Coturnix japonica: one gene and its partners. The protein of the gene in region 4 interacts with the protein of the main gene of each other region in a biochemical or structural test. Links are inferred from orthologs where the notes say so. Each region holds a gene or a part of one and is shown on either strand. Other genes may lie near its edges. The genes, in order: EIF4B, PARK7, UBE2J1, PRKN, UBE2G1, MFN2 and ubiquitin-conjugating enzyme E2 variant 1.

The links.
Region 1: of the proteins of PRKN (region 4) and EIF4B, one has a biochemical effect on the other in vitro, tested with the Homo sapiens proteins (2 studies listed by BioGRID). The link is inferred for Coturnix japonica from reciprocal best matches to the Homo sapiens genes PRKN and EIF4B.
Region 2: the proteins of PRKN (region 4) and PARK7 form a complex in vitro, tested with the Homo sapiens proteins (2 studies listed by BioGRID, with this or other methods). The link is inferred for Coturnix japonica from reciprocal best matches to the Homo sapiens genes PRKN and PARK7.
Region 3: the proteins of PRKN (region 4) and UBE2J1 form a complex in vitro, tested with the Homo sapiens proteins (4 studies listed by BioGRID). The link is inferred for Coturnix japonica from reciprocal best matches to the Homo sapiens genes PRKN and UBE2J1.
Region 5: the proteins of PRKN (region 4) and UBE2G1 form a complex in vitro, tested with the Homo sapiens proteins (5 studies listed by BioGRID). The link is inferred for Coturnix japonica from reciprocal best matches to the Homo sapiens genes PRKN and UBE2G1.
Region 6: of the proteins of PRKN (region 4) and MFN2, one has a biochemical effect on the other in vitro, tested with the Homo sapiens proteins (2 studies listed by BioGRID). The link is inferred for Coturnix japonica from reciprocal best matches to the Homo sapiens genes PRKN and MFN2.
Region 7: the proteins of PRKN (region 4) and ubiquitin-conjugating enzyme E2 variant 1 form a complex in vitro, tested with the Homo sapiens proteins (4 studies listed by BioGRID). The link is inferred for Coturnix japonica from reciprocal best matches to the Homo sapiens genes PRKN and UBE2V1.

What each region holds. Positions count from the first base shown.
Region 1 is NC_029544.1:1,104,165-1,108,235, reverse strand, and holds the start of EIF4B (eukaryotic translation initiation factor 4B), read left to right. Parts: upstream 1-1,271; 5' UTR 1,272-1,357; coding exon 1,358-1,370; intron 1,371-3,337; coding exon 3,338-3,481; intron 3,482-3,889; coding exon 3,890-4,071. Other genes in the region: KRT18 (keratin, type I cytoskeletal 18), read left to right, coding at 425-539. UniProt on the Homo sapiens protein: Required for the binding of mRNA to ribosomes. Functions in close association with EIF4-F and EIF4-A. Binds near the 5'-terminal cap of mRNA in presence of EIF-4F and ATP.
Region 2 is NC_029536.1:196,701-200,060, reverse strand, and holds the end of PARK7 (protein/nucleic acid deglycase DJ-1), read left to right. Parts: intron 1-150; coding exon 151-210; intron 211-346; coding exon 347-416; intron 417-1,905; coding exon 1,906-1,992; intron 1,993-2,433; coding exon 2,434-2,594; 3' UTR 2,595-2,860; downstream 2,861-3,360. UniProt on the Homo sapiens protein: Multifunctional protein with controversial molecular function which plays an important role in cell protection against oxidative stress and cell death acting as oxidative stress sensor and redox-sensitive chaperone and protease.
Region 3 is NC_029518.1:68,954,870-68,958,369, forward strand, and holds part of UBE2J1 (ubiquitin-conjugating enzyme E2 J1), read left to right. Parts: intron 1-116; coding exon 117-190; intron 191-1,653; coding exon 1,654-1,785; intron 1,786-2,535; coding exon 2,536-2,620; intron 2,621-3,500. UniProt on the Homo sapiens protein: Catalyzes the covalent attachment of ubiquitin to other proteins. Functions in the selective degradation of misfolded membrane proteins from the endoplasmic reticulum (ERAD) and is essential for cells to recover from ER stress.
Region 4 is NC_029518.1:40,121,991-40,126,061, reverse strand, and holds the start of PRKN (E3 ubiquitin-protein ligase parkin), read right to left. Parts: upstream 2,801-4,071; 5' UTR 2,690-2,800; coding exon 2,492-2,689; intron 1-2,491. UniProt on the Homo sapiens protein: Functions within a multiprotein E3 ubiquitin ligase complex, catalyzing the covalent attachment of ubiquitin moieties onto substrate proteins. Substrates include SYT11 and VDAC1.
Region 5 is NC_029534.1:2,222,411-2,226,532, reverse strand, and holds the start of UBE2G1 (ubiquitin-conjugating enzyme E2 G1), read right to left. Parts: upstream 2,801-4,122; 5' UTR 2,607-2,800; coding exon 2,561-2,606; intron 1-2,560. UniProt on the Homo sapiens protein: Accepts ubiquitin from the E1 complex and catalyzes its covalent attachment to other proteins. In vitro catalyzes 'Lys-48'-, as well as 'Lys-63'-linked polyubiquitination. May be involved in degradation of muscle-specific proteins.
Region 6 is NC_029536.1:4,790,006-4,794,016, reverse strand, and holds the start of MFN2 (mitofusin-2), read left to right. Parts: upstream 1-1,211; 5' UTR 1,212-1,305; intron 1,306-1,468; 5' UTR 1,469-1,583; intron 1,584-1,829; 5' UTR 1,830-1,931; intron 1,932-2,609; 5' UTR 2,610-2,613; coding exon 2,614-2,788; intron 2,789-3,430; coding exon 3,431-3,566; intron 3,567-3,887; coding exon 3,888-4,011. UniProt on the Homo sapiens protein: Mitochondrial outer membrane GTPase that mediates mitochondrial clustering and fusion. Mitochondria are highly dynamic organelles, and their morphology is determined by the equilibrium between mitochondrial fusion and fission events.
Region 7 is NC_029535.1:12,304,356-12,307,855, reverse strand, and holds part of ubiquitin-conjugating enzyme E2 variant 1, read right to left. Parts: intron 2,005-3,500; coding exon 1,879-2,004; intron 1,514-1,878; coding exon 1,367-1,513; 3' UTR 1-1,366. UniProt on the Homo sapiens protein: Has no ubiquitin ligase activity on its own. The UBE2V1-UBE2N heterodimer catalyzes the synthesis of non-canonical poly-ubiquitin chains that are linked through Lys-63.

The DNA of each region.
Region 1 (4,071 bases), on a different chromosome or scaffold from region 4:
CAGTGGTGGCATTCGGTGGGGTGAGACCAAGTGTTGGGATGTGCAGGTCCCATCCTTTGGGATGTTTGGGGACAGCAAAGGGGCAGTGCTGGCATTCAATGAGATGAGCCCCAGTGTTGGGATATGCAGGACCATGGCTTACAGGGACAGCAAAGGGACAGCAGTGGCACCCCATAGGGATCCTATAGGGACAGCAGTGACACCCAGTGGGGACAGGGATAGTGGTGGCACCCAAGTGGCCAAGCATCCCAACCCTGATGTCCCCTCCAAGTTCCTTGGGGTTACAGCGGGGTAGGGTAGCGTGGGGCTGAGTGACACAGGGGTGGGTGACACGGGTGGGTAACAGGGTGGACATAGGGTGAGTAACATAAAGGTGGGTGACATAAAGGGGTGTGTGACCATGGGGACACCCGCTGCTCCACAGCCTGCAGGATGCTCTGGGGTCGGAGGGGACAGTGACCACGCAGCGCAGCACCCAGAGGACGGTGGATGGCAAAGTGGTGTCCGAGAGCAAAGAAGTCAAAGTGCGCAGCTACTGAATGGGGACGGCGTGGTGCCCCCTCCTGCCTTACAAATAAAGGAGCAAAGTGAAAGAGATGGGGCTCAGTGTGTGTGAATGGGAAACTGAGGCACAGGGGTGGGAGAGGGAGGGAGAGAGAGATGGTGGAACAGAAGTGGGGATGGATGGAGAGGGGGATGGATGGAGGGAGGGATGGAGGGAGGGATGGATGGATGGATGGATGGATGGATGGATGGATGGATGGATGGATGGATGGATGGAGGGAGGGATGGATGGAGGGAGGGATGGAGGGATGGAGGGAGGGAGATTGAGAGGAAAGAATGGAGGGATGGCAAGAGGGAGGGAGAGGTGGATGGAGGGATGGAGGAAAGGAGAAAAGGAGGGAGGGTGAGGTGGGGAGAGAGGGAAGAAGGGAGGAATGGTGAGAGGGAGGGAGAGATGGAAGGAGGGAGAAGGGAGAGATGGAGAGGGAAAGAAGGGGGAAGGGATGGAGGGGGGTGAGAAGGATGGAGGGAGGGAAGGAGAGAGGAAAGGAGGGAAGAATGGAGGGAAGGAGGAATAGAGAGAGAAGGGAGGGAATGAGGAGGAGGAGGGAGAGGGAGGGATAGATGGAGGGAGAGAAGGAGGAAGAAATGGAGGGATGGAAGGAGAGAGGGAAGAAGGAGGGATGGATGGAGGGGGAGCGCTCATCCCGGTGCCCCCCCCACGTGCGCGCTCCCGCGGCAATGCGCGCTCCCGTGTGCGTCTCCCCCCCGCCCTGCCGGAAGTGGGCGTCGCTCCGGAGATCACGTGACGGCTCCATCCGGGCCTTTCGCCCTCTCTCTGCCTCTTGCCAAGATGGCGGCCTCAGGTGAGCGCCGCGCGGTGGCTCCGGCCCCACATCGCCCCTCGCCCACCCCACACCCACCCCAGAGCGACCCTTCCCCACTCCGCGACCCCACCTCTGCCTCGAGCCTGGGTCTGCCGGGCAGTTGGCTGCGTTACGGGGGCGGCAATGCGGCTCTGCGGGGCCTTCACGGCCGGGAGCGGCCTTCGGGCCTTGCCCCCCCCACACCCCACATAGACACACAGCGCCCATTGGGGGGGGGGGCAGGGCAGGGCGTGGGACTGCGCATGCGCGGAGCTGGGCGGAGGGGGGGGTCCACGTGTGGGGTTGGGAGCGTGGAACGGGAACACGGAGCGATGCGGTGTGTTATATGTGTGTAATGGGCGGGGAGAGCTGGGCAATGCCGGCCCCATGCTGGGGCTGGGCCCTGTCCAGCTCCATATCATCACGTTTGTGCAGTGCTGGGACCTGTGCAGTGCTGTGGTGCTGGCTATGTGTGATATGCAGTGACATCTGGGCACTGCTGGCATCGTGCAGTGCTCCAGCACCACCCTGTGCAGTGCTGGGACCCGTACAGCTCAATATCGTCATGTTTGCGCAGTGCTGGGCCCTGTGCAGTGCATGGTGCAGTGCTGAATGTGTGTGATATGCAGTGACATCTGTGCAATGCTGGCCCCATGCAGTGCTCCAGCACCACCCCGTGCAGTGATGGAAGCTGTGCAGCTCAATATCATCATGTTTGTGTGTGATATGCAGTGACATCTGGGCACTGCTGGCATCATGCAGTGCTCCAGCACCACCCCGTGCAGTGCTGGGCCCTGTGCAGTGCAGCTGCAGTGCTGAATGTGTGTGATATGCAGTGACATCTGGACAATGCTGGCCCCATGCAGTGCTCCAGCACCACCCCATGCACTGCTGGGAGCTGTGCAGCTCGATATCATCATGTTTGTGCAGTGCTGGGCCCTGTGCAATGCATGGTGCAGCGCTGCAGTGCTGGATATGTGTGATATGCAGTGACATCTGTGCAATGCTGGCCTCATGCAGTGCTCCAGCACCACCCCATGCAGTGCTGGGCCCTGTGCAGTGCATGGTGCAGTGCTGGACGTGTGATATGCACTGACATCTGGGCATCATGCAGTGCACCATCATCATGTTTGTGCAGGGCTTGGCTCTGTGCAATGCACGGTGGCAGTGCTGTGGTGCTGGTTGTGTGCAATGCACAGTGATATCTATGCAATGCTGGCCCCATGCAGTGCTCCAGCAGCACCCCGTGCACTGCTAGGACTCATACAGTGCACCATCATTGCATGAGTGTGCTGCTGGGCTCCGTGCAGTGCTTGGAGGCAGTGCTGTCATGCTGGCCCTGTGCAGTCACATCAATGTTCTGGTTTGGAGAAGCTCTGTGAGATTTTGGGGAGCTCTTCATGTTTTTGGACGTCTCCATGTGCTTTTGCTGACCCCCGTGTTGGTTTTGGGGAGCTTTGCATCAGTTTTGGTGATCCCTTTGTGTTTTTGGGGAGTTAAGTGAGATTTTGGGGTGCTCAACATGTTTTTGGGTATCTTCATGTGCTTTTGGCAATCTCTATGCCAATTTTGGTTGCCTCTGTGCTGATATTGAGGAGCTCTGTGCCAGGTTTAACAACCCCTGTGCCACTTTTGGCCACTCCTCTGCTGATTTCAGTGGCCCCTGTGCCAGTTCTAAGGAGCTCTGTGTGATTTTGGTGCCCCCTGTGCCAGTTTTACTGACCTCTATGCCAGTACTGGTGACCCCTGTGCCAATTCTGATGAGCTCTACGCCACATTTGGTGCCACCTGTGCCACTTTGGCAGAGCTCCTCACTGATTCAAGGCAGCTTTGTGAATGCAGGGAGCTCCGCATGCTCCCCTTGACCCCCACCCTCCTCCCCACATCCCATTGCCACCAATGGGAGGGGGGTCATGGGGTGCAGACAGAGCCATGGTGCCGATCTCGCCGCCCCCCCCACCCCGCAGCAGCCAAGAAGAAGAACAAGAAGGGGAAGACCCTGACCCTGACCGACTTCCTGGCTGAGGATGGCGGCAGCGGTGCACCCACCTACATCCCCAAGCCGGTCAGCTGGGCTGATGAGACCGATGACCTGGACGGCGACGGTAGGGGTGAGAGCGAGCCTAGGGCAGATACCGTCTGTTTTTGGGGGGCTACCATCCATGTTGAGGGGTCACAGTCTGCATGAGTTGGCCACCATCTATGTGGGGTGGCCACTGTGTATAACACATGACCACCATCTAGATGATGTGGCCACCACCTCTAGCCCACGGCCACCACCTCTTTGCTCTGGCCAAGCAGCCCATGGCCACCACCTCCACATTGTGCCCACCCTCTTTAGCCCATGGCCACCACCCCCATGTTTTGGCCACCCTCCCCTGCAGCTCTTGGCCACCTCCTGCAACACATGACCACCACCTCCACGCAGTAGCCACCCCCTGCATCCCATGGCCACCTCTTTTAACCCACCACCTCCACGCCATGCCCACCTCCTTCAGCCCACCCATTCTCTCCCACAGTCTCCACTGCGTGGCACAGCAATGATGATGATGTGTACCGGGCACCGCTGATCGACCGCTCGCTGCTGCCCACCGCCCCCCGCGCCGCACGCGAGCCCAACATTGACCGCAGCCGCCTGCCCAAGTGCCCGCCCTACACGGCCTTCCTGGGCAACCTGCCCTACGATGTCACTGAGGAATCC
Region 2 (3,360 bases), on a different chromosome or scaffold from region 4:
TTTACAGCAGGCCAAGATCAGATTTGGTGAAAGAAAAGGCTTCTCAGTGAAGGATCCCTTTGCTTCTCAATTCACTTAGCTGTGCTGTCCCTAGAACAATGTGACAGATAGGTCACCCTCTGTTCATCAAAGCTTTATCTGTCTGTTTAGGGACCTTACGATGTCGTTGTCCTGCCTGGAGGTAACCTTGGAGCTCAGAACTTGTCAGAGGTAAAGTCCTGGGATCAAGCTGTCAAGCTGTTTTTCTTTGTAAATCTTGTTCATGAATTTGCAGTAGAAAATGCCTCAACTGTGCTTCAACCCAAATAATCAACTCAAAGCAACGGCTTCTTTTTATCTTTTACAGTCTGCTGCTGTTAAAGACATTTTGAAGGATCAGGAAAGCAGGAAAGGCCTGATTGCTGCAATATGTGCAGGTGGGTTAGTAACAAGTTTTCCTTTGATAAATACTTGGGTGTTTGAAAGGACAGGCAGGCGGGTATCCTGCCTTAGAAATTTATATTCTTGTAACTTAGTTACAGAAATTTGCTCTACAAACCCATCAGCATTTGGATTTTCTAGTCATTTGGGTTAGTGTCTTAAAAAGTGACAACTAATTTGCTGGGTGTAGTGGAAATGCTGTAGTGGCCTGAAGCAATGATGGAGCACATGGTGGGAAGGCAGAGCCAACCCAGGGGAGCTCAGGTGCAGGCAATGTACTGGGTGATTGGATTGGGTGGAGTCAGGATCCAGCCCTCATTTAAGGGTTCCCAGTGGAGGTGGGGGTATCTCTCTGGAGTTCCCTGTGTACCTGAGGTCTTCTTGGTTTCTGTGAGTACAGTTGCCACCTCTGAGTAAATCCTCACTTGCTGCAGTCTGGGACTTTGTTACTCTGCTGTCATTGCTGACCTTTTTGTTGTGTTACAGCATTACATTTGGTTTTTAGTTTAGGGATTTTTGGTTTGTTTTTTTTTTAGTATCTGGTTATTTTCTCTGTGAGGACGCTGTGCTGGCTGAACATCGTTACTATAAATTTGTCTCATGACTCCTCTTCTGCCCTTTAGATTCAGCAGGGTGGCTGAAAATATAGTGTTACAGGCTCACCTTCAAAGGAGTGGTACTAAAATATGGAGTTACTCTACAGTGAGGGTTGTCTGCTTACATGTTCTGCACAGCTAGATATCTAGTTCAGTTCTTTATGTGGTTTGTATTTAAAGAAAAAACAAGATGAATAAATGCCGATATTCCCAGCTGAACAGAGAGAGTGGTCTATGTAGGGGAGAATGAGGAGAGTGATGATAACTGTGTAGGAGATGCTCTAACGGTGTGTGTTTGCAGCATGTGTTTGTGTTTTGTCTGGTGTGTGGCTGCTTTTTATTTTGTTTTCGTTCTTCAGTTGAGCAATACACATGAATTTGTGAGCAGTCCTAAGTGTGGCTCTGGTGGTCTTTTCCTTCTTTACCCGTATGTTGCAGAACAATTCATTTATTTTATGTGTAGTGCTTTTCAGAACTTTTCCAGCTGAACACGAGGGAAGTTATTTCCTTGTTGCTTCATTTTCTGAAATGAATCAGATACGCAGAAATGACACTTGAATCAGCCAAATCCTGCATTCAGTTTCTTCTGGAATTCCCATAAGGATTTTTTTCTTGGGTGATCTAAGACAACTTTACACAAGTTTCTTCCTCAATTCAGGCAAGGGAGGAAGTGATGGAAAGAGAAAGAGAATGTAAAAACTGGAAGGTTAGCTGTTAACCCATAGCTGTCCAAAATGCTGCTTGGTGCACAATTCCAGCACATAAAGGCCTTTTCAAATGAAATTTTATCAGATAATCCTTACCAAGGCTGTGAGATTTGAGCCCCTGGATGCGTGTTCTTATGTTTGTAGCAGATAAGTTTCTCACTGATGTGTGTGTGTCCTTACAGGCCCTACTGCCCTCCTGGCACATGGGATAGGATTTGGAAGCAAAGTCACAACACATCCTTTGGCCAAAGATAAAATGATGAATGGAGGTATGTAATTAATGTTATAGCTTTATTTCTAAACTCGGAAAGTATTTTGTCCTAACTCTTCATTTAAAGAAAAGTAAATAACGTTTGCATCTCATTCTGTATCTCAGAGTTTCCTTAGTGCTTTCATATGCATAATCAAAATTCAACAGCTTGCAGATAGGTGCACTTATATGCCATGTGAACAAGCTGGCAGAACTCCCTGTAGGGCCTTTTCCTCTCTGAGGACTGTAGGCAGCGATGAGTTGCTTGGTTCTGCAGGGACAGGGATACAGAGCCCAGAGTGAGCTTGGCTCATGTGAGTCATTGAGGTGTGTACTCAAGAATGCGATGCTGTTGGTGGAGCTTGCTGCCCCTCAGTTGCCGTAGCCTGTGAGCAGGCAGGTCTGTGCTCTGTGTCACTGGAATGGAGACTGACCCTCTTATTGTTGTGTCACCCCTAAGCTCACTACTCCTACTCCGAGAGCCGTGTGGAGAAAGATGGGAACATCCTCACCAGCCGTGGCCCTGGTACGAGCTTTGAGTTTGGGTTGGCCATTGTTGAAGTACTGATGGGGAAGGAGGTGGCTGAACAAGTGAAGGCACCCTTAATATTGAAGGACTGAAATGCTGTTGTGGGACATGGAGTAGAACAATTTCAGGTGGTGAGTCTTGTCCTTTGTAGAATAACTGAGATGCACAATGTAGTTGTGGATGAAATTAACAGCTGTGCTCACCTAAATTAGGACATCTCACCAGTGTTTATTCCTGGAAGAAAACTCTGTTAGCAAAGACCTTCACTATCATTAGCAACTAAATAATCTTAGATCCTGGCATTTCAAAATCGCGTGGACAAATGTTTGCTGATTAAATAAAAATGAAACAACCTTGATTGTTTGTTGCTTCTTTGTGCGTTTTTTCCCCAGTCCCGAGCAGGGGCTGCAGTGAGTAACTTGCTTATCACTAGTGTCTGGCTCACACTTCTCTGTGCAGTGTGATAATCCGACTCAGTGTGGCACAGACTGGTGTGCCCTTCTCTGGAACTGGGAATTTCCCTGGTCTTAAGGCATTAAGGCTGTTTGCTGTGTAGGTTTGGTTGTGCCTTTTGTTTTCTGGAAGGACGCTCAGTAGTGCTGGTTTTTCTCTTCAGCTTGTTGTGAGATTAAGAAACTACATCGATCATTTCTTTTTTGTTTTTAGGGGGTTCAGACCTGATGGTTGTAAGCGTAATGTTTTGTGCATTGATGGCTTCAAAGTGTTTTGTCCTGGTGGCTCTTTGTGTATCTGAATTCAGGGTGGGATTGTTTGGCATCTTTCTTTTTTCCTCTGATGTTTTTCCTCTGTGCAATATATTTGCACTCTTTTTCCTTTGCAGCTTTAAGGTGCTGACAT
Region 3 (3,500 bases), about 29 Mb from region 4:
GTGTTAAAAGTACTAGTTAGCTGAAAGGAGCTCTTTCCGAAGTGTTTACACATGTTTGTGTGCAGTAGGTGTTATTATTTTCCTTATTTTCATGTTTCATGCTCTCTTTCTTTCAGCTGTCAAACGTTTGATGAAAGAGGCTGCAGAACTGAAGGATCCTACAGATCATTATCACGCACAACCTTTGGAGGTTTGTTTCCCCACGTGCTTGCTGCAGGGGCATGTAATGAGGCTCTAAGTCCTCTATGTATATTTAGACATGCATATTTAAATAGCAGCAAACTATTCTAAAGTGAATTCAGTTCTTCAGAGGTTTTGGAAATCAAGAGCAGAATTCCATATTTCATAGTACTGTAGACTGAAATTGTTAGTGAAAGTACACAACAATAGTGCTTTCACATGCCATGTAAGTGATTCTGTCACATGGATACAATATGTTTATTCCCCTCTCTCTTCCCTGGGACTATTATGTTTAATTAAGCTTTTTTACTGTTATCAGACCCACTATTTTCATCCTAGATGCTGAATGTGGCATCATGGGAAGGTTTTGGATTGAAAGGACAGTGAAATTCTGGTGCTTAGAAGCATAAAAAGAAACATGTTCTGATTTTTCTGGAATAATCACAGTCAAGTTAATGTTATGCTCAGTTTAGGGAATTAACTGCTTACAGAAGAGTGTAGCATATTAAACATGCTTGTAGCTGTTAGCATGTTTCTGTTTTGCTACTGACCAGCCTTGGTCTCTACCTCATTTTCTTCTTTCTGAGGTGAAATGTAAGGTTTAGTTCGTGCTATTGTAATTGAAATGAGAACCTTATTTTGCAGTTTGAACGGTGACTCATAGGGAAGAGAACAGTGAGAAGAAGTGCTGGAAATGTTGACAGTTCCCTCCCTTAGGAAATGTTGTAGCTAGATGAGCAGTCACACGCATGTGATACCTGTGTTCAGCATTAGTTAGGAGATCTTGTTCACCAAAGGCAAGCTTCACTGGGCTGCAGTGTTAAAACTAGGTGTTGTCTTGTTTTTGTCCAAGGAGTCATGAGCATTAGGAGATCTGAAGCACAAAGCCAAACTCAGAGCCCTCAAAAATAATGCTTAAGGAAGAGCTGTTTCCTTGTCCAATGAAAATGTTCTGAAGTTCAAAATCTATATATTGCAGTAGGGTGTGGTAGTGGTGAGTCTTTGTGGAAAAACAAATGAGGAAGGGAATTCTAAGGAACTTGCATCAAATCCCTTTGTTGCCCTGGCACAGAAGAGACATTGACGTAGAAGGCTGTAATTAATGTTCTTACTTGGAGTGAGCCTCTCAGTTCTGTATAAACCAGTATTCACTGGGGTAAAGACTGAGTTTTCCCGTATTTGACTCCATGTATTCCATCTGACAGGAAATGAATAGGCACAGCTAGAGTGAAGTCCATTAGAATTTTCCAACTAAGTCATTTGGTAAGAAAATTACCAGGAAGCTACTTCATCTTTCCTTTTCAGTGAAATCTTAGCATACTGTTGGTTATCTTCATTTCTGATTTATTTATTTTTTTCCTTATTTTAAAACTTGCCATTCATTTTTTCCTTGGAACAAAGGCTAAAGAAATGATAATTAGATGTCAACTTCCTTGACACTTATTTCTTTTTCCCTTGCTGTGGTCATTTTAGGACAATCTTTTTGAATGGCACTTTACTGTTAGAGGTCCTCCAGATTCAGATTTTGATGGAGGAATTTATCACGGACGGATAGTACTTCCACCTGAATATCCCATGAAACCACCAAGCATTATTTTGCTGACGGTAAGTATATGAAAGATTCCTAGCACCTAAGGTAACATTATTTTTATAAGACAGGGGTCATAGTACAATTAATGCTGCCAGTTTAGTGACAGAAGTCTTTGAAAGTGACTTTGGTATAATGTAGTTAGATGAAGTTTTGGATCTACAAGTGGGAGACTTCCCCAAAACTAATACTGATTGCTTATATGGATGTCTAACCTTCCTGTTGTCTCTGTGGATCACAGAATAATAGAGTAATTATGGTTGGAAATGACCACTAACATCACCTTGTCCAGTTGTCAGCCTACCACTGCTGTGCGCAAGGCTAGGCTGGATGGGACTTTGAGCAACCTCGCCTAGTGGAAGATGTCCCTGCCTATAGCATTGGAACTACATGAACTTACATAATCTACGTGGTCTCTGTTAATGCGTGAAAAACAGATCTATGGTATGGGTGAAGGCCTGTATTTCTGTGTAATTTCATAGAGCTATAGACTTTCAGAGTCTCCACACATGTGTGGATTACGGGAGCAACAGAGAAGCCATTATGTCACACTGGGACATATGAGGTATCAGGTAGGGGTCTCTTTGTGCATGAACTAAGGTAGTTGGCAGACTTCTTTGATTCAGAAAGCTGAATGCTGTATTTGCAAGGTTGGTAGTAATACAGTTATCAAGTATTGTTTGCATATGGATTTATGATATTTTTGATAACTTGTTTTCTTTGCACAAATTAACTTCACGTTTTATTATATCCTCCTTTCTTTAAAGGCTAATGGCAGGTTTGAAGTGGGGAAGAAAATTTGCTTAAGCATCTCAGGGCATCATCCTGAAACATGGCAGCCTTCATGGAGTAGTAAGTAACAAATTATTTGGAAATCATCTTTACACTGAAAAATCTCACAAAGAATGCTACAGTAATACTTCACTAATACTTCTCTCGATGCTTGGACTAATTCTTAGTATGTGTGCTGAAACTCCTCTTATGTGCTTCCCTGAATTCGAGGAAACTCTGGAATTGCTGTACCTCTGGTCTTCACTGAGGATTGAGCAGAAAAAACCCTCTTCTGTGGTTTTGAGTTCATTAATGTATTTATTCACATTGGTTTGTTTGACAGAATGTGACTGAACTACAAGGCAGTGCTGCTACTGACAGGATTTTAGTTATTTATTATAATATTAGGAGAATAAATGGAAACGGCACTGAAAAATATTGTCAGAACTGCAAATATTAAGCAGAACAGAAAGGTTGCCTTCCTAGCTCTGAGTAAGGATATGAGATGCAATTTCTGCTGCTTGTGTTCTACCCCATGCAAACACACCCGTGTTCTTAACTGCAATGAATAGAGCTCGTAGTGGAAGGGGAGGCAGATTTTTGAGGGAGCAAAAGGATGGGAGAGCTGTAGAAATGTGAAGTTGTGAAAGAGGGACACAGGAAGTTTTGGAAACTGTTCAATAAACAGAAGCTGAAAAGGTTGAGAAACTGAGGAGTGTTGGTAAGCTGTTAATGCTTGTGCATCCAAATAAAAATTTCTTGGACTCGTTAAGATATTCTTAACTTTTAAAAACCATTCTTACATTAAAATATTTTAAATTCCATTACTTCACTTTTTTTCCCCTTGGTCTAATCACTAAAAGCAGCCTGAGTGTCAATTGAGAGGAGAGTAGTCAGCTTTTATGCTAATGCTTTACCTCTGAGCGCTCCAGAGGAAAGTCATGGTCTAAGCTGAGAATAA
Region 4 (4,071 bases):
GATATTTTGTACTGTTGTTGTTCTCAAATTTTTCACTTATGTAAAGATCTCAAGTTGGCATTTTCTTCCTTATCCTTATTTCTCTCTAATATTTGTCCAGTCAGCATGCATTTCTCTTCTACAGTATTCAGCTACCATGAAAGATTTTTCCATTCTCTCTGAACAGGAAAACAAATGTAGTTTTCACATTTTCAGTTGTGTTCTGTATCACCTGCACGAGATCCCAAAGTAGCTGTCAAGCCAAATCTAGCAGTTCTGCAAGCTGTGAAACCAGTAAACTTTGTTATCCAGGGATATATTTCTTATATCCCTGCCCCACACTCCTAAGATTATCCCAGCTCATTCCAAATCTCTAAATTCTCCCACAGTATCCTGGGTAAGTAAGCACAAAAGTAATTTATAAAAACAAAAGGAAAAAATGGTCTAATTAGAAATTCTAAGCTACCAAGAACTAAGATTCAGCCATGTAAAAATGTATGTTGTGTTTTGTTTTATTTTATCTGCATGCAAATCATTAGGTCCAGAAAACAACTGTTATTAATTTTCTTCTATGTGATGTTAACTCTGATATTACAGATGCAACATTAATGCCAGCAGTTACTATTTCACTAGCACTCAGCTGCTTATGCAAAAAGCCCCAAATTGCCTTCTGTAGGAAAAGTCAGATATATCAAACCATCTACCATTCTTCTTGTGTTGACAATTTCTACAATGAATAGATAAAAACAATTAAAATAATTAAATACCAGGAATAAAAATCTTGTTGACATGTTGGTATTAATCATTGGATTATGTAAGGCACTTAAATACACAAATATGGATTATGCCACCTGAAATAGCCATTTTACATCCTATATGCTTTAGAAAATGAAAGTCACAGCAATGAACATAGATCCGGTTTATTAGTAAGACTTGGCTACACTTGATAATTCTGTCATTCCTATTAAATAAATTAAGCAAATAGTCAGCAGGCTTCTATATCCAAAAAGCACATTTTAATTTGCACAGCAAAGCATTGTATGTTGTAACTGACAGCAATTTTTTTTAAAGGCAAAAAACATGATTCAATGTCTGTGACATAAAATAGCAGTAACACCAATACCTACAGCTGCTCAGGAAACACTAGGAGTTCATAAGCTTAGGACAGGATAACACAGACAACCAGAACTAGCAACTGGTATCTGGTAATTTCCACTATTTTTCTTCTCACATGTGAAAAAATATAAGTGAAATACACTGCAGTTTACATCACAAATATATGCATCAATGCTATCTATAGGTTATGCATTGTGGACTGACAACAGTTCATATTTCTGTATTGTGTTCTGTCCTAAAACACACTAAAATCCTTTGCAAAATATTGAGTATCTTAACCACAGAGAAATAGGACGGGTCATTAATACAGTAGTAACCCTTCTGTACCCAGACTTAGCATCCATTTTAATTACAGAAATACTTCTGAAACACGACTGCTAATTAACATGAAATACTTCTGCCTGTGAGGGACCTTTTATATAATCACCTGCAGTAGTAGAGACTGTGTCTGTTATTTTGATACAACTGCAGAAGGATAGCAGTTTCATTAAGGCAGTAAATTCAAGAGCACTCTATTCAAAGGCCTTTAGGTTTTCCTATGTTCCTACATGTCTTAGATGTATGATCTTATGCTAACCCCTTCCTGAACATACTCTGAAATTCACATTCACTACTCATAGTATAAATAAAAACAATGATAAAGCAACTGTGGCAGCACTGGGAAGAGTAGTAAAGAGTACAAGGAAGAGAAAATTGAACCTATATTTCCATGCTTACTACAGCTCATCACAGATGAACAATTCTGCACTTATTGAACTGAACAGCTACCTAACCTTGAAAAACTGAAATTCAGATACCCACTTATAGCCATTCTTCCACACTCCTTGCTGCTCTCAGTTTCACACATTTATGAGCTTGGTGGTTTGGATCACACTTCCATGAGCTTTTTAGAACTGGAACCATCATTCCAGCAGTGCGTTCACCTGTGTATGGCACACGGCAGCATTCAGAACAGCAGCAGCAGCCCTGTAGCTATCCTCCAGGGGTCACAATTGGGTTACAAATTCTACAGAATGTGCTGACCGTGCAGCCTGATCTGAAGCAATTTATTCACATCCTTCTTCATTAAGATTCAAATGGAATAAGTAAAATAAAAATTGAACAGATACAGAAATTGTGCATGGCTTGCTTCTGTAGTCAGTAAACATTTATTCACTAGGCACAGCTCTCTCCCATACTCTCTCACTCATATGCTCTCCCTATCCTTCCTGCTTGCTGTTTTAATGCATAATTAAGAAGGTCAGAATTAATGAAGCAGTGTGGAGTAAAGTTCAAGGAATCCCCAGGCACTATTTATTCTATTAGATCTCAGGAATGAATGTCAGATTGGCAGCATTAGAGGCAGAGGCAGCAGAGCTGGCAGCAGTCCAGGAGCAAAGCTACCACAGAGGCTTACCTGCAGCGTTAAGTCGTTGCTGAGCTCTCTCCCTGCAAAGATCACCCGCAGCTGGTCAGCTGGAACTCCCTGTCGCTGCGCAACCGCCTCCTTCAGCTGGAGGATGCTGGCTTCCAACCCAAGCTCCACCGGGAAGCCATGGCTTGAGTTGAACCTGACAAACACTGAAAAAGAGAAAACACCTTTTAAAGCAAACATTTCTCACTGCCGGTCTGTACTAGAGTGACTACAAGTGGCTTATTTGTCAATTTCAGAGAGCACTGACTGTTTTAAGAGAAAAGCTACTAATACTGTAGTGTATAATTTGGAAAAGAGGAACTGTATGGGATTTCCCTTCACAGAATAGCTAGTGACTAATAAACAAAAGCCACGTGCTTCCCCCAGCAGAGCTATAAATTGAAGAGAAACATCAGAACCAAAAGGGACCCATCCAGCCAGCAGTCCAGGCAACCACTAAGTCCTGGAACAAATCTCTGATCCACAACTGACCTTAACAGACACAGGACACACACACTTTCTATGCCCCTTGTGCTCTTTCCTGCTGCACGTAACAAATGCATGCAGAAAACTGAGTTTTAGAGCTAAGTTACATTAAATAATACTAAGCAAAACAATTCACTGTTATACTGCAGAGCACGGTCACATAAATTGGTTCCCCACAGATACAATTCTGTGGAAGGTAATGATGGAGAGAAAAATCACACGCTAGCAGAAATGTTTGGGAGTGTTGTATTACACTGTGGTCTTTTCAGAGTTCACTAAAACATCTGCAGTACATAACTCCTGCTGGCATGTTCCTTCAGTGCAGGAAATCACTACCGCACTCGCCATATCATTTTTAGAGCTGCAGAGAGTGGTTTATATATCCTGAGAAGCCTGGCAAATAAACTCATGAGCTTACAGCCATTCAGCTGGCAGTGTTGTTTTTCACAAGGGTGCTGAATGTGCTCATTGAGCCCTTGACCAGGGGAGTGACTACAAGAACTATGCAACAAGAAAAGCTTGACTACATCCATACCAGTCACTAAGGCTGCATAAACAGTACACTCAATCCCAGTGGGCTGCTTCAGCCAATAAACAGTTCCACTAGCACAAAGCAAAGGAATTAGCAAGTAATATAAAGCAATAAAATCATTTGTATCAATTAGTCACTGGCTACCTGACATTTGAACTGTTTAGGTATTGATTGCAATAACCATCCCTCTTGAAGATTTCCCATTCCCACTGCAATGTTCTAACTGAAGACATACTCCTTTGAATTTTTTATGAGTGACAGATGCATAAATTCAAAAGTGCTCATACAGTTTGAGGAAATCTATTTTTAAACTGACAATAGGATCAATGATTTTCCAAACACAAAGTGTACCTGACTGCTGTAAAGGAGTCAAATGCTTTAAAAGCATGCGAATATAGTTGAGAATGATGGCGATTTTTTGCTGAGCAATGAACGTTGTAAATATTTGCAATTTTACACCTTTAATATAGATTTTGCTATTTCTGGATAATCTTTAAGGCCATAGACCAATATATTTTTTTACACAACATTTTGAGTTTTGCACATCCTCTAAATTTACTAAAAA
Region 5 (4,122 bases), on a different chromosome or scaffold from region 4:
TTCCTCAACTCTTCTGCAACCATAAGGGCCTCAGGTCCAGTTATCCTCCCTCCACACCAAATAACAGCCCTGACTTCAGATCTCTCACAGTTTGAACAACACTGATAAAGGAGTGACCTCGACCAGTTTAAATGAGTTCAGATGACGTAACTCATCTCCACTTTGCTGCCCTCCAAAACCCAACCATTAAGTACAACCCAATCACTCACCACACTCAATACACAACCCAAAGCTGCATGCAGCATTAGGACTGAAATATCAGTCCCATTCAGTAAGAAAAAAACCCTCAGCATTGGTTTTAGTTTTGAGGCAGGTAAAACAGCGTGGGTACAATGAGGGATACACTGGAGCAGATGAGAGCTGGGAGAAAACAGCAGCGGGGGGGAAGGTGAGACCTCACAAGGCTCAGTCTCTGCACTGCACCTTCAAGCAGCCTGCCATTAGAAAAAGCAGTTCAGGGCCTTGCTTCAGCTCCATTCAGATACAGCAGAGATTATCAAATATGGAAGAAACAACATATTTCCCTTTCCAGGTCAGTAACTACTCCAGGCTGAGCTCCTGAAGAATTTCAGACTCCCCACACACTTCAGTGCATACACTCAACCACTTTCTATGCACAGAAGCACAAAAATTACATAAAAGTATATGCACATTTCTGTATAATTTATGTATATATTATTTATATATTTTAATATCTCTAAGTAGATGTAGGAAAAAAAAAGTACTGATGGTACTTAAAACCCAAAGGCCTCACAAAGGGGCTGCACGTTACATGCAAATGGCCGCAGTGCCCAGTTGACTCAGTATCAGTAATAAGGCAACTGGAAGGGTTCACTGCTTTTACACGGCACGTGAAGCTCTCAGAAGAGAGAGAGCAGAAAGACTGAGGGCTTCAGTCAGTCTAAGAGCCTGCAAGTCCAGCAGCACATCCAACCAACCTTCATTCAGAGGGCAGGTCATAAAGAACTACACAACACAGGCGGTCTGAAAGTTTCTTGATGGTCCCTTTGACACTCAGCTCAAGTTGGGAACTTCCTTTCACGGTGTACAATTATTTAATTAACACACAAATTCCAGACCGTCTCAGGTCACCAAACGCTTGTTTGTATGAAGCTAAAGAGCAGCCTCAACACCATCTCCTCCCAGTGTGATCACTTACAGAAGAGAGAACTGTTGCAGAAGCAAGAATTTTTGGAGCTCCTGGTTTAAGCCTATATATATTGATAACTGCTTATGTGAACAAGTAGATGCCCCAGCAGATGTTCAGGAATGCCGTAACGCCTGCTGGGCCCACTGACACGATCACACCGCGTGGAGGAAATCTTTTTATTTACAAAAATCACCTTCAATAAGTTTTAGCCCACCGTGCCCCGCTGCTTGGCCGGGCCTCAGCTCCACCTCGCTCCCATCACTCAGCGCCATGCAGCTCCCGCACTCTGTTATGCAACTCCGCAGTGAGCAGAGCCCTAAAGCCACCGGGGGCCGCATCCCTCCCGCAGGGACCCCCCGCACGGCTGTGACCCGTCCCTCCGAAGCGCTACAGAGCTCTATTTGCCCGGCTTTAGGTACACCTAGCGAGCATTTCCTTATCTGGCTATGGAGCAACTCATTTTTACGTAAGGCGCACAGCAGCCAGCGGAGCTGCCCGAGGTGCCGGCGTTGCTCAGGGGCGGTTCGGAGCACACACGTGCGATGGGGGAGGGAGCGTTCAACCCCCTCCCTGCTCCGCCGGCTCCGTGTCTCTTTAAATCTGGCAGCGAGCGACACATGGAGCTGCATTGTGCGCCCCGACAACCAGCGCATGCGCGGCGCCGCCGGGCCGAGCCAGGACCCCACCGCGGCCGCAGCCCGGGCACACGGAGCAGCGCGGGGCCGCCCGGGACACAAAGGGAGGGGGAGCCGCCGCTATGGGCTGCCGGCCCGCAGCACCACGGGCCGCTCCTCGCCCCACTGCGCTCACAACAAAGGGGGCAGCGGCCCTTCCTTCCTCACGGGCACGGAGCGGGGGGCGGGACGGGGGCAGCTCAGGTCCCCGCGGCGAGCTCAGCCCTGAGGCGCCGCTTCTGGACGCGAGGAGGGGGAGGATAATAAAAATCGAAGGGAAAAATATATATGTGTTATATATTATATATAGAGCCGCCATACAACTCCCACCTCCGCTTCTGACAACACCGCGCGGCCCTCCCCGCAATGCACCCCCACGGCGAGGCCCAGCGAGGGGACAAGAGGCCGCGGAGGCCCGAGCGGAGCCGCTGCCGGGACGGGAACGGCGGTGGAAGCGCAGCCCCCACAGCCCGCTCCGTACCGAGCCGGCCCCGCTCCCCTCCCCTACTCCCCTCCCCTCCCCCCGGCCGCGCTGCCACGCTCCCCCTCCCCCCCCGGCCTAGTTCCCTCAGCCCCGGGCCGGGCACTGAGCTCAGGGGGGGTTGGTGCTGGTTAGGCCGCCGCCTCCCCTTCCCCCTCACAGCCGCCCCGCTCCCCGCCGTCCCCCTCCTCCCCCTCACGACCCGTCCTGCCCTCAGACTCCGTTCTCCCGTCTCCTCTCTCCATCCGCCGGTACCTGCTAGCTGTCTCCGCAGTAACAAGGCGGACTGGAGCTCCGTCATTCTCTCCCTTTCTATCCTCGGAATGAGTCCCGAGGACGGCGCGGCTCCCGGTGCTCCCAGAGCCCGAGGCGGCTGCGAGTGGCCCCCTCAGCCCGCCCGCACCGCCGCCACAGCACGCAGGGTCCCTGCCAGGGGCGCGCGGCCGTGGCTCCGTGCCGCCCTGCTCCTCCTCCTCCTCCTGCACTCCGCTCTGCGCAGACGCACTTCGAGCAGCTACAGGCCCTTCCGCGCCGCCATCTTAGGAGTGGCGGCTGAGCTGTGTGTGTGTGGAGGCGGGGCGAGGAGAAGCCAGGCCGCCATCCGTTTCGCTGAGGGCAGCGGGTCTCCTGAGGGCAGCAGCCTTCAGTTCACTCACGGCTTTTCCTCAGTGATGGATGTGTTTAAGCGTTCTTTGCCAACCTTAGTTGATTCTAAGGCTGCTGTGACATAAAGAGCCGTAACGTAACAAAAAACAGCGTTTTGTCCTCGTTCGAAGCCATCTCCCACGCCCAGAGGGAGCCGTGGTTATTATTTGGCTGGGGGAAGCAGTGCTGGCTGATGGAGAGTTGCTCGCTGTGCGGGATTGCTGCGCTGTGGGGCTCTGAGGGGCTCTGTGGGGTCTGTGGGTGGCTCTGTGGGGTTCTGTGGGGTCTATGGGGTCTGTGGGGTCTATGGGGTCTGTGGGGTCTATGGGGTCTGTGGGGTCTGTGGGGTCTATGGGGTCTGTGGGGCTGTGGGTGGCTCTATGGGGTTCTATGGGGCTCTATGGGGTCTATGGGGCTCTATGGGGTCTATGGGGCTCTATGGGGTCTATGGGGCTCTATGGGGCTCTATGGGGTCTATGGGGTCTATGGGGCTCTGTGGGGCTCTATGGGGTCTGTGGGGTTCTGTGGGGCTGTGGGTGGCTCTGTGGGCTCTGTGGGGCTCTGTGGGGGCAGCACGGGCTGCTATAAGGTGGCAACGGTGTCTGAACGCCACCTCAGTGAGTGCCCGCCTGGTACCATGAGGTGAACGCGGTACCCCCCGCTGGAGTCTCTAATTTTACCGATTTTACGACTAAATTGTTAAAGAAATGCAGTTTCTGGCCGATTGGTGAGCAGTTATCATCATCGGAAACTGGGAAACTCCCCGCTCTGTTGTAAGGAGCTGCTAAAAAGGATTTATCCTGCTCGAAAGTAACACTCTTCATTGTTTTCGACCACGAGGAATTCCTATGTGAACATCAAACTTGGCTTTGCAACAAGAGTGAGAAACCCAGGATAGACGAGATGCTTTACTGGCAATGCTGGAATCTTCTCCCCTTGTTGTAATTCCGGTTATAGTTCGAGCGTTTCATTACTGCACTCCAACAATTAATCACAAAGCCATTCTCAGGCATTCCGGCAATTCTGATTAAATCCGTGTCCTCTTCAATGATTAAACTAGGATGAAAAAAGACATCCCGCAGCATTACTGAAATTCATCTTATAAATGGTGTTTGTAGCCAAAGGAGGTCTTTGTGGAAGTCCTTCCTGCTGTAGGTTAACTCCAATTCCCA
Region 6 (4,011 bases), on a different chromosome or scaffold from region 4:
TGGAAATCCAGCTCTTTGGAGTCAAGTCACAAGCTTTCTCTCCAAGTAGCTGGAATCTCTTTTTTATATCCACAGCATATACAGGACTGGACACTTAGAAAATCATTTCTGGATACTATACCAAACATTATCAAGGAGCTGGCTCCAAGAGTCGTAATGGTTACATGTCACACCAGATGAAACTCAGTAGTAACAGCCTGAAGATCATCTGAATCCTTACCTCTATGCAGTCTTTGGAAACACATCACAGAGTTCAAAGCAGCAGCAATAGCAATGTAGGTGCTTTGTGGTAGTCAATGAAGGCCCATTAATTATACATTATCTCTGGGATTAGTCTGAAGACATAGAAAAAAGAAATAGCCTCCCTATCTTCTGTTACTGCAGTTTAGGGAGGGCTTCAGTGCTGAATCAGCTCAGCTCTATCCTTGTTAAGATCTACAAGCTCTAATGATGGGTTAACAACCCAGAGGCCCCACTGATCTTTGGCCTCATTCTCCTTCTTAGCGATCATTTGGGTAGTTCCCTTTGCATCCAGCTTGTTTGAGCCAACGCTGTAGAAGAACTATTTTCTGGTACTTAGAGGAAATCATTATTTGGTATTTCTAATATTTGAGATTGCAAACCAAAGCATCCCCCTGGGGATGAGACTCATAGAAATGAGTGGGTGAGTGCTCAGAGGTTGTGGCAAACCAATAAGGGATAAAAAACTGCCTAGAATTGAGCTGTGGGTAGAGGGGGAGCAGAGAAAAACCGTTGTATTGCTGCCTGTGAGAGACCTGCTCTGCTTTTAGACACTATTATGTGTATGAAGGCTGGTTTGTTTCACAGGCAGTACATTCACATTGGGATTGGGGTGGACCCACAGGGCTGCTCTCTGAGGGCTCTTTAGGGTCTCCTTCAGTGCTGTGCATCCACCAGGGGAGAAAAAACAGTTGAAAACGGTAAAAATTCGTGCTGTAACCAAATGAAGAGACTTTCCAGGCCCACGGTTGAGAAAACATTGACATGGTGTATGTATTTATTTAGCTTCCCCACACACACACTTATTTTATTGTGTTTTTCCTCTGCCCGATACTATGATCGGAATCCGCGCGGAGCCGCTTCACACACAGATTCCAACCGTGGCAAGTGGGAGGTGGGGAAATTCGCATTAAACTATTCCCAAACGCTCACTGTGGTTGTGTTTCTTCCACGACGGGGCGGCTCCTCAGAACTACAGCTCCCGAAGCACCCCGGGACAGAGCCCGCCTACCCAGGGGTGGTGCCGGGGGTTAAGATGGCTGCGCTGCGGGAGCGGCCGTGAAGGTGAGCGTTGGTTGCGGGCTGTGATGGCGGCTCCTGTGAGGGGTTCGGGGCTCTGAGGTGGCGGCCGCGCTGTGGGGAGAACGCGCTTCCCGCCCTTTTTATTGGCGGGAATCCGCCGTTCTCTGAGGGCCGAGTTCGAGGCCTGCGCCTCCCTCTGTCGTAGGGAGGCGGCTGGATTCGGAGTGAGGGAAGGAGCTGTGGTGGAACGGCGCTGTTCGTGTTCTGGAGGGGCTCGAGTTGACCATGTCCGGCTTGTGAGAGCGAAACACATCCTAAAAGTAAGCGGGGAAGGGAGGGAGTGATCCCTTGGAAGGGAGGAGGGAAGGTGGGTTTTTATTCTTTCTAGATATTTGAGTGACTTCTAAGTGTGGGAATTAGAAACGTTCCTTGTGGAATGATCTTTAGAACGTGTATTATCTAGTTCTCAGTAGGCGTCTTCTGTCTCCCAGGGGTCTGTATTGAGACATCACCTTTATCAATATACATTTTATATATGTGTGTACACCGTACCCTTATACTATCAGGGCATACACATTGGGATCAAGATCAGCAATTTGCTGATGGCACCACACTGAGCACTGCAGTTGACAGGGCAGAAGGAAGCGATGCCCTCCAGAGGGATCCTGGTAGGTGAAAATCTGAACATGAACCAGCACTGTGTGATGGCAGCACTGAAGGCCCACACACAGAACAGCATCCTGGGCTGCTGCAGCAGATGGGTGCCAGCAGGATGAAGGGATTTTCCTCCTGCTCTCTGCTTTTGTGAGGCCCCAGCTGCAGTTCTGCACCCAGGCCTGTGGCCTCCAGCAATGGAAGGATGTGGGGCTGTTGGGGGGGATCCAGAGGACAGCTGTGAGGATGCTCAGAGAGCTGCAGCACCTCTTCTATGGAGAAAGATTGGAGGAGTTGGGCTTGTTCAGCCTGGAGAGGGCTCCAAGGAGACCTCATTGCTGCATTCCAGTACTTTAAGGGAGCTTATAAACAGGAGAGAAGTGAACTTTTTACACAGGTAGTCAGTGATAGAACAAGGGGAAGTGGTTTTAAACTAAGAGATGGGAAACTTAAGTCTCTCTTGCTGCTGCCCGGAGCTGTGGGAGCCCCATCCCTGAAGGTGCCCACAGCCATGGATGGGCCCTGAGCAGCCTGAGCTGGTGGGGAACACCCTGTGTGTGGCAGGGTTGGAACTGAGTAATCTCTGAGTTCCTTTCCAGCCCAACCGTTGTATGATTAAATATCAGACACTTGGTTGTGTGGCTGTTAGGCCTCAGTGAGTTCCCTTTCCTTACTGATTTTTTTCCCTATAGCGCAATGTCCCTGTTGTTTACTCGTTCCAAGTCAATAGTTGCAGTGAAGAAGGATAAAAGACACATGGCTGAGGTCAATGCTTCTCCACTCAAACATTTTGTCACTGCAAAGAAGAAAATCAATGGCATCTTTGAGCAACTGGCCGCATACATCAATGAGAGCTCCTCATTCCTGGAGGGTAAGCTGAGCTGAATGGTGCTTTGCCTGCACGTGGTTCCCAAGCAACACACCAAAACCCTCATTTATTTATAAATACGTATCTCTTTATATGTCAGTATTTGTATGAGGGGACTGAAAATTATTGTAGTGAATTTGAGTGAAGTTTAGGCCTCATATTTCAAAGCTGATTTACGTTGGTAATGTATGAAACCAAGCTAGTTAGTGGGCTCCGTTGTTTCTGGGGAAGGTTATTTCTATGTGTTTTGTTTTTAAAATGAACTATTTGAGGCTCTTTTGCTTGTGTGCATATAATCCTTTCAGTATTCTTGCCTAGACACGTCATTGCCAGTGACGTGGAACACATACAGTAATTGGCTTTACAGCTTACGATGCAGAGAGAAGGTTTTTAAGGGTGCTGGGATGTTTGAAGCATTGGATGCGTTCTGTTTAAGGCGGTCATGAGGATAAAGAATGGTTATTAGATAAAGAGACTGGTAGATAATGCTGCTGGGTGTAACTGCATGCTTCAGCATGACCTGTCTGAACTGTGAGATACAGATAAGCATTTGGTTGTGTATGTTAAATTATGGGGAGGTGTTTTACCCAGTACTGAGGCAGATCGCTTCAGGGATTCAGGGACATGATGTGTTTTGATTTTTAGAAACACACAGGAACGTGGAGCTTGATCCTGTCACCACAGAAGAGCAGGTATTGGAAGTCAAAGGCTACTTGTCAAAAGTCAGTGGCATTAGTGAAGTGCTGGCGAGGCGACACATGAAAGTGGCTTTTTTTGGAAGGTAAGTCGAGTGCTTACATTGCCTACACTCCCTACTGGGTAAAGAAACTTGCATCTTTAGGATCATAGCCAAAAATGTATTTATAGAAGCATTAGTGCTCCAGCTTCTGGATGCAACGTGTGGCACATGTCCCTAGTTCTAGTATTTGTGTGAATGGGACTCAAATACTGTAGAACATAATCTATTTAGAAGAAAAAAAATGGGTTCTTTTTTAAGTTGTCTGTAGCAAATGAATTGTTAGTGCTTCTGGAGCTGTTTTGGTTTAGATGACTTGTTCTGAGCTCAGAAGCCCAGCTATGCTGTTCTTTAATTTTGCTTCAGGACGAGCAATGGGAAAAGCACTGTGATAAATGCCATGCTATGGGACAAAGTCCTTCCTTCAGGAATTGGGCACACCACCAATTGTTTCCTGCGTGTAGAAGGGACTGATGGTCATGAAGCTTTC
Region 7 (3,500 bases), on a different chromosome or scaffold from region 4:
AAACACTTGATCTTTTCATAAAATTCCAGACACACTAGGTTGGCTGCATGTAAGCTTGCATCCACACTGCAGTTAGTGGTCCAACAGTAAAACAGAAAAGGCAGCAATTTGCCAGGATGCAAAGCCAATACTGGTCCTCACTCTGCACCACTTCCCCGGATCTTCACCAGGGCGTTTCCTCTTCCAAGACTCAGAGAATCCTGATGGAATCTACGCTGACTCAATTTGTCTGTCAGACCCTCAGAAGCGCCAACCTGGGTGCTGCACTCAGTTAGTCAACATTCCCGGGTCATTCCAAAGCACCAGAAATACAGCTACTCAGATTGGAGTGTGTGTTTTGAACCTACGTGCAGCCTGGCAGCAGATTTTGGTCATCCTGGTATATTACTGCTCTTTTCATCATGTCAAAAGCCTATCTAACATCAGCCGCAGCCAGCTGGGTGGTGTGGCAGCAGAGCCAGAGGGACAGGGAACATCCACGTTTGCGATCAGAATGGATACTCTTGATTCCCAGGCTGGTGAAGACTATATTTGTTGCAAAACCAAAACGATAAGCAGGAGGGAATAGGTCAAGTTATTGCCCCAGTGCTTACCCCTGCCATCCAAGGGTGAGAAGAGACATAGAGAGGGGCAAAAAGAAAGCAGCATCCCTGCTAAAAAGAGGGGAAGAGGGAAGAGATTAAAAGAACCCCGAATCTCTCACCCAATGCTCACATTACTGGTGAGGGAGATCAGGAAGAGGAATACAATCTATGCCTTGGCCAGAGGAAAGGAGGAAAGCTCGCCCCAGATTACCATGGCATGAAAAAAAAATATAAAACCAAAAAAGACTACAGTCACATTCAGCCTTTACTAGAGATAGCACAAAGGGAGGGATGACGGAGGTTAGCACACATCCCCATTAGTAGTCCATAAAGCCCAGTGTCGTACTGGAAAGAAAACCTTTGTGCCTATTCTAATAAACAGCCCTGAGCTTCAACTCTATTGCAAAAGACAGAAAAAGAAAATAAACAACAAAACAATCCTGGCCAGACACACAGCAAGGTGATTGTGGGATGTATGCTTCACAGTTAAGTTAGATGTGCCACACTGGTCTTGACAGTAATAAATTTAAATCAACTCTTCCTGATACCAGAAGTTCAGCTATGTGGACAGTGGTTACACAACAGGATTATTTGTTATAGCACAACTTATATTTCAAATGAAAAAAAAATTAGTATCATTTACAGTATCTCAAGAAAAATCTCCTCTGAATGGGAACTTCCTTTCCAGTATTTTGAGGTCTACAAGATGCATCTAGAAAATTTACTACTGTGGAAAATGAAGACAGCTTAAATTGAATAAGGGGGCATGATTATTTTTTTAATTAATTGCTGTAACATTGTCCTTCAGGTGGCTGAGGAAGTTTCATATTTTCTTTAGACATCATTAGACGCCGAAGCTCTTGCAGAACAACTTTGATGCTAAAAGAATTCTGCCATTTTGCTAGGACTGATATGGCTCTGGGGTCCACCTAGAACAGACAAAAACACCATTCCTGTCACAATCAGAACTGTCAATAACTCCCACACACACCCTCCAGCCAAAGATCTTTTAAGAAGTCTCAGTGGAAGAAACCAAAGAAGGCAAAAGCAAGCAGGTGGCTTTCCTGAAAGCATGATTAATCCATGCAGAACTATTTGCAAGCTGCAAATGTACAAGAAAAGTACATTTTGATTCCAGAATTCTCTCAGTTTGTACAGTTCCCTCCTACTCCCCTCTTCTACTCCAAGAAATGGTACGAGCAAACAAAAAGTACTAAAGCAAACTGCAAATAAAAAGCATTCATTAGAAGCTGCACGTGAAAACCATGTAAAATAGTAAAAAACAAAAACTTACCATTCCATTGGAATTATTTATTCCATTCATATTAATTTTAGTTACAAATCTAACTGTAGGAGGTGCTTCTGGATATTTAGGTCCACACTCTACTTTCAGACTGTATATTCTGTTTTCATAAATTGTCTGGGGGAAAAAAAAGCAGGAAGGGGGAACAATTATATCAGGCAGTTCAACAAACACTTGGTTAAAACAGTGGTTATTTCAGGAACACAAACCACTAAACAGAAGGTCAGCTGCTTCCATTCTGTGCTGCCTCCCCCTGTTTTGGGTTCATTTTACAATATTTGAGCACTAAATGCTGCTCTTCTGCATATTAAATTCTACTATTTTTTTAAGCACACATTGAATTTTCACATAAAGAATGAAGTTGGCATTGCTTCCTGTTCACTCCCTGAAAAAGTTTTTCTTATCACCATATAGTTTAGTTTTCTGCTCTTCAACCAATCTTTATAAATCAGTTCTGTTTTTATCAATTCACTAATCACAGGCATGATCTTGAAATCAAAGCTATAGCTTTAGTGTAGAGAGCCATCTGAAGTTGGCTGGTCCTAAAGCTTCACTTAAAAACTTTCTTTGGTCAATCGTCAACCCAATGCATGAGCTCCCTGAAAAGTGAATGCTCCAAAATCTAGTACATTTAAAGTACACAGGTTGCTCCGAAAGTAATGTCTCCTATTTATTTCCACAGAATCTACCACAGATACACAGAGCACAATAACATTATTTGATAGAGCAAATTCTCAGCTATAAAACATTGTTTTTCAACACAGTCACCACCATTAGCTGATTCATGCAGATGAGCTGATCAAGGCACTCTTCATCTTGTTGTATGACAGCTGTGCAAGGTCACCTGGAACACGGCTTGTCCTTCACGCTGCTATTGACAATGCAGAAAGGCACCAGCATGACTGCACCAATATCCACTGCCTGGTCTCCATATAGGTTCAGCAATCATCAATGAATGTCAATGGGTGCCATTTTTTCTGTTCTGCCCCTTTGTTCCATACTTCTATGTCAGACACCACTCTGTCAGGCTGCCCCTCTGCTGCCAGCTGTCACACAGCAACAAAATGGAACAGGACATTGGTGGGAAGGTTCAGCCCCTACTGCCACACCAGCAACATCCGCCTCTGACATCACAGGCCAACATCATAAAACAGGAGGCATTACTTTTGGAGCAACCCTTCTACATCCTGATTCCAAACAGCAACAACATTGTTCCAGAGACTGGGGGACAGTTACCTGACTCAGCCTGGACTGTCCCAGTCTCCTAACAGAACCATGTGAGCTCTATGCACAGAGCAATTAACACACCAAAGTCTGCAGCTTTTTATGGCCCTTGCATATAACCACATCGCATTAAGACTAGTGAACAGAAAGTCTTCACCATGCACAGGCCTAGAGCCAGACCAAGTCAAAGTTCTGACAGCACCCCTGTTATTGAATAGCTTGTATAAGCAAGAGGAATGACTGGTTGCAAAACCATCTGCACTGAGCCTGGGGAGGAGCAGTATGCTTCCATGTAAGGTAGCAGGGACAGCCCAGAGCAGCAGCCTGGACCCAGCTCAGCACAGCAGTTCATTTTCCCTGCAGTACACCCAGCACCAGATTCCTCCACC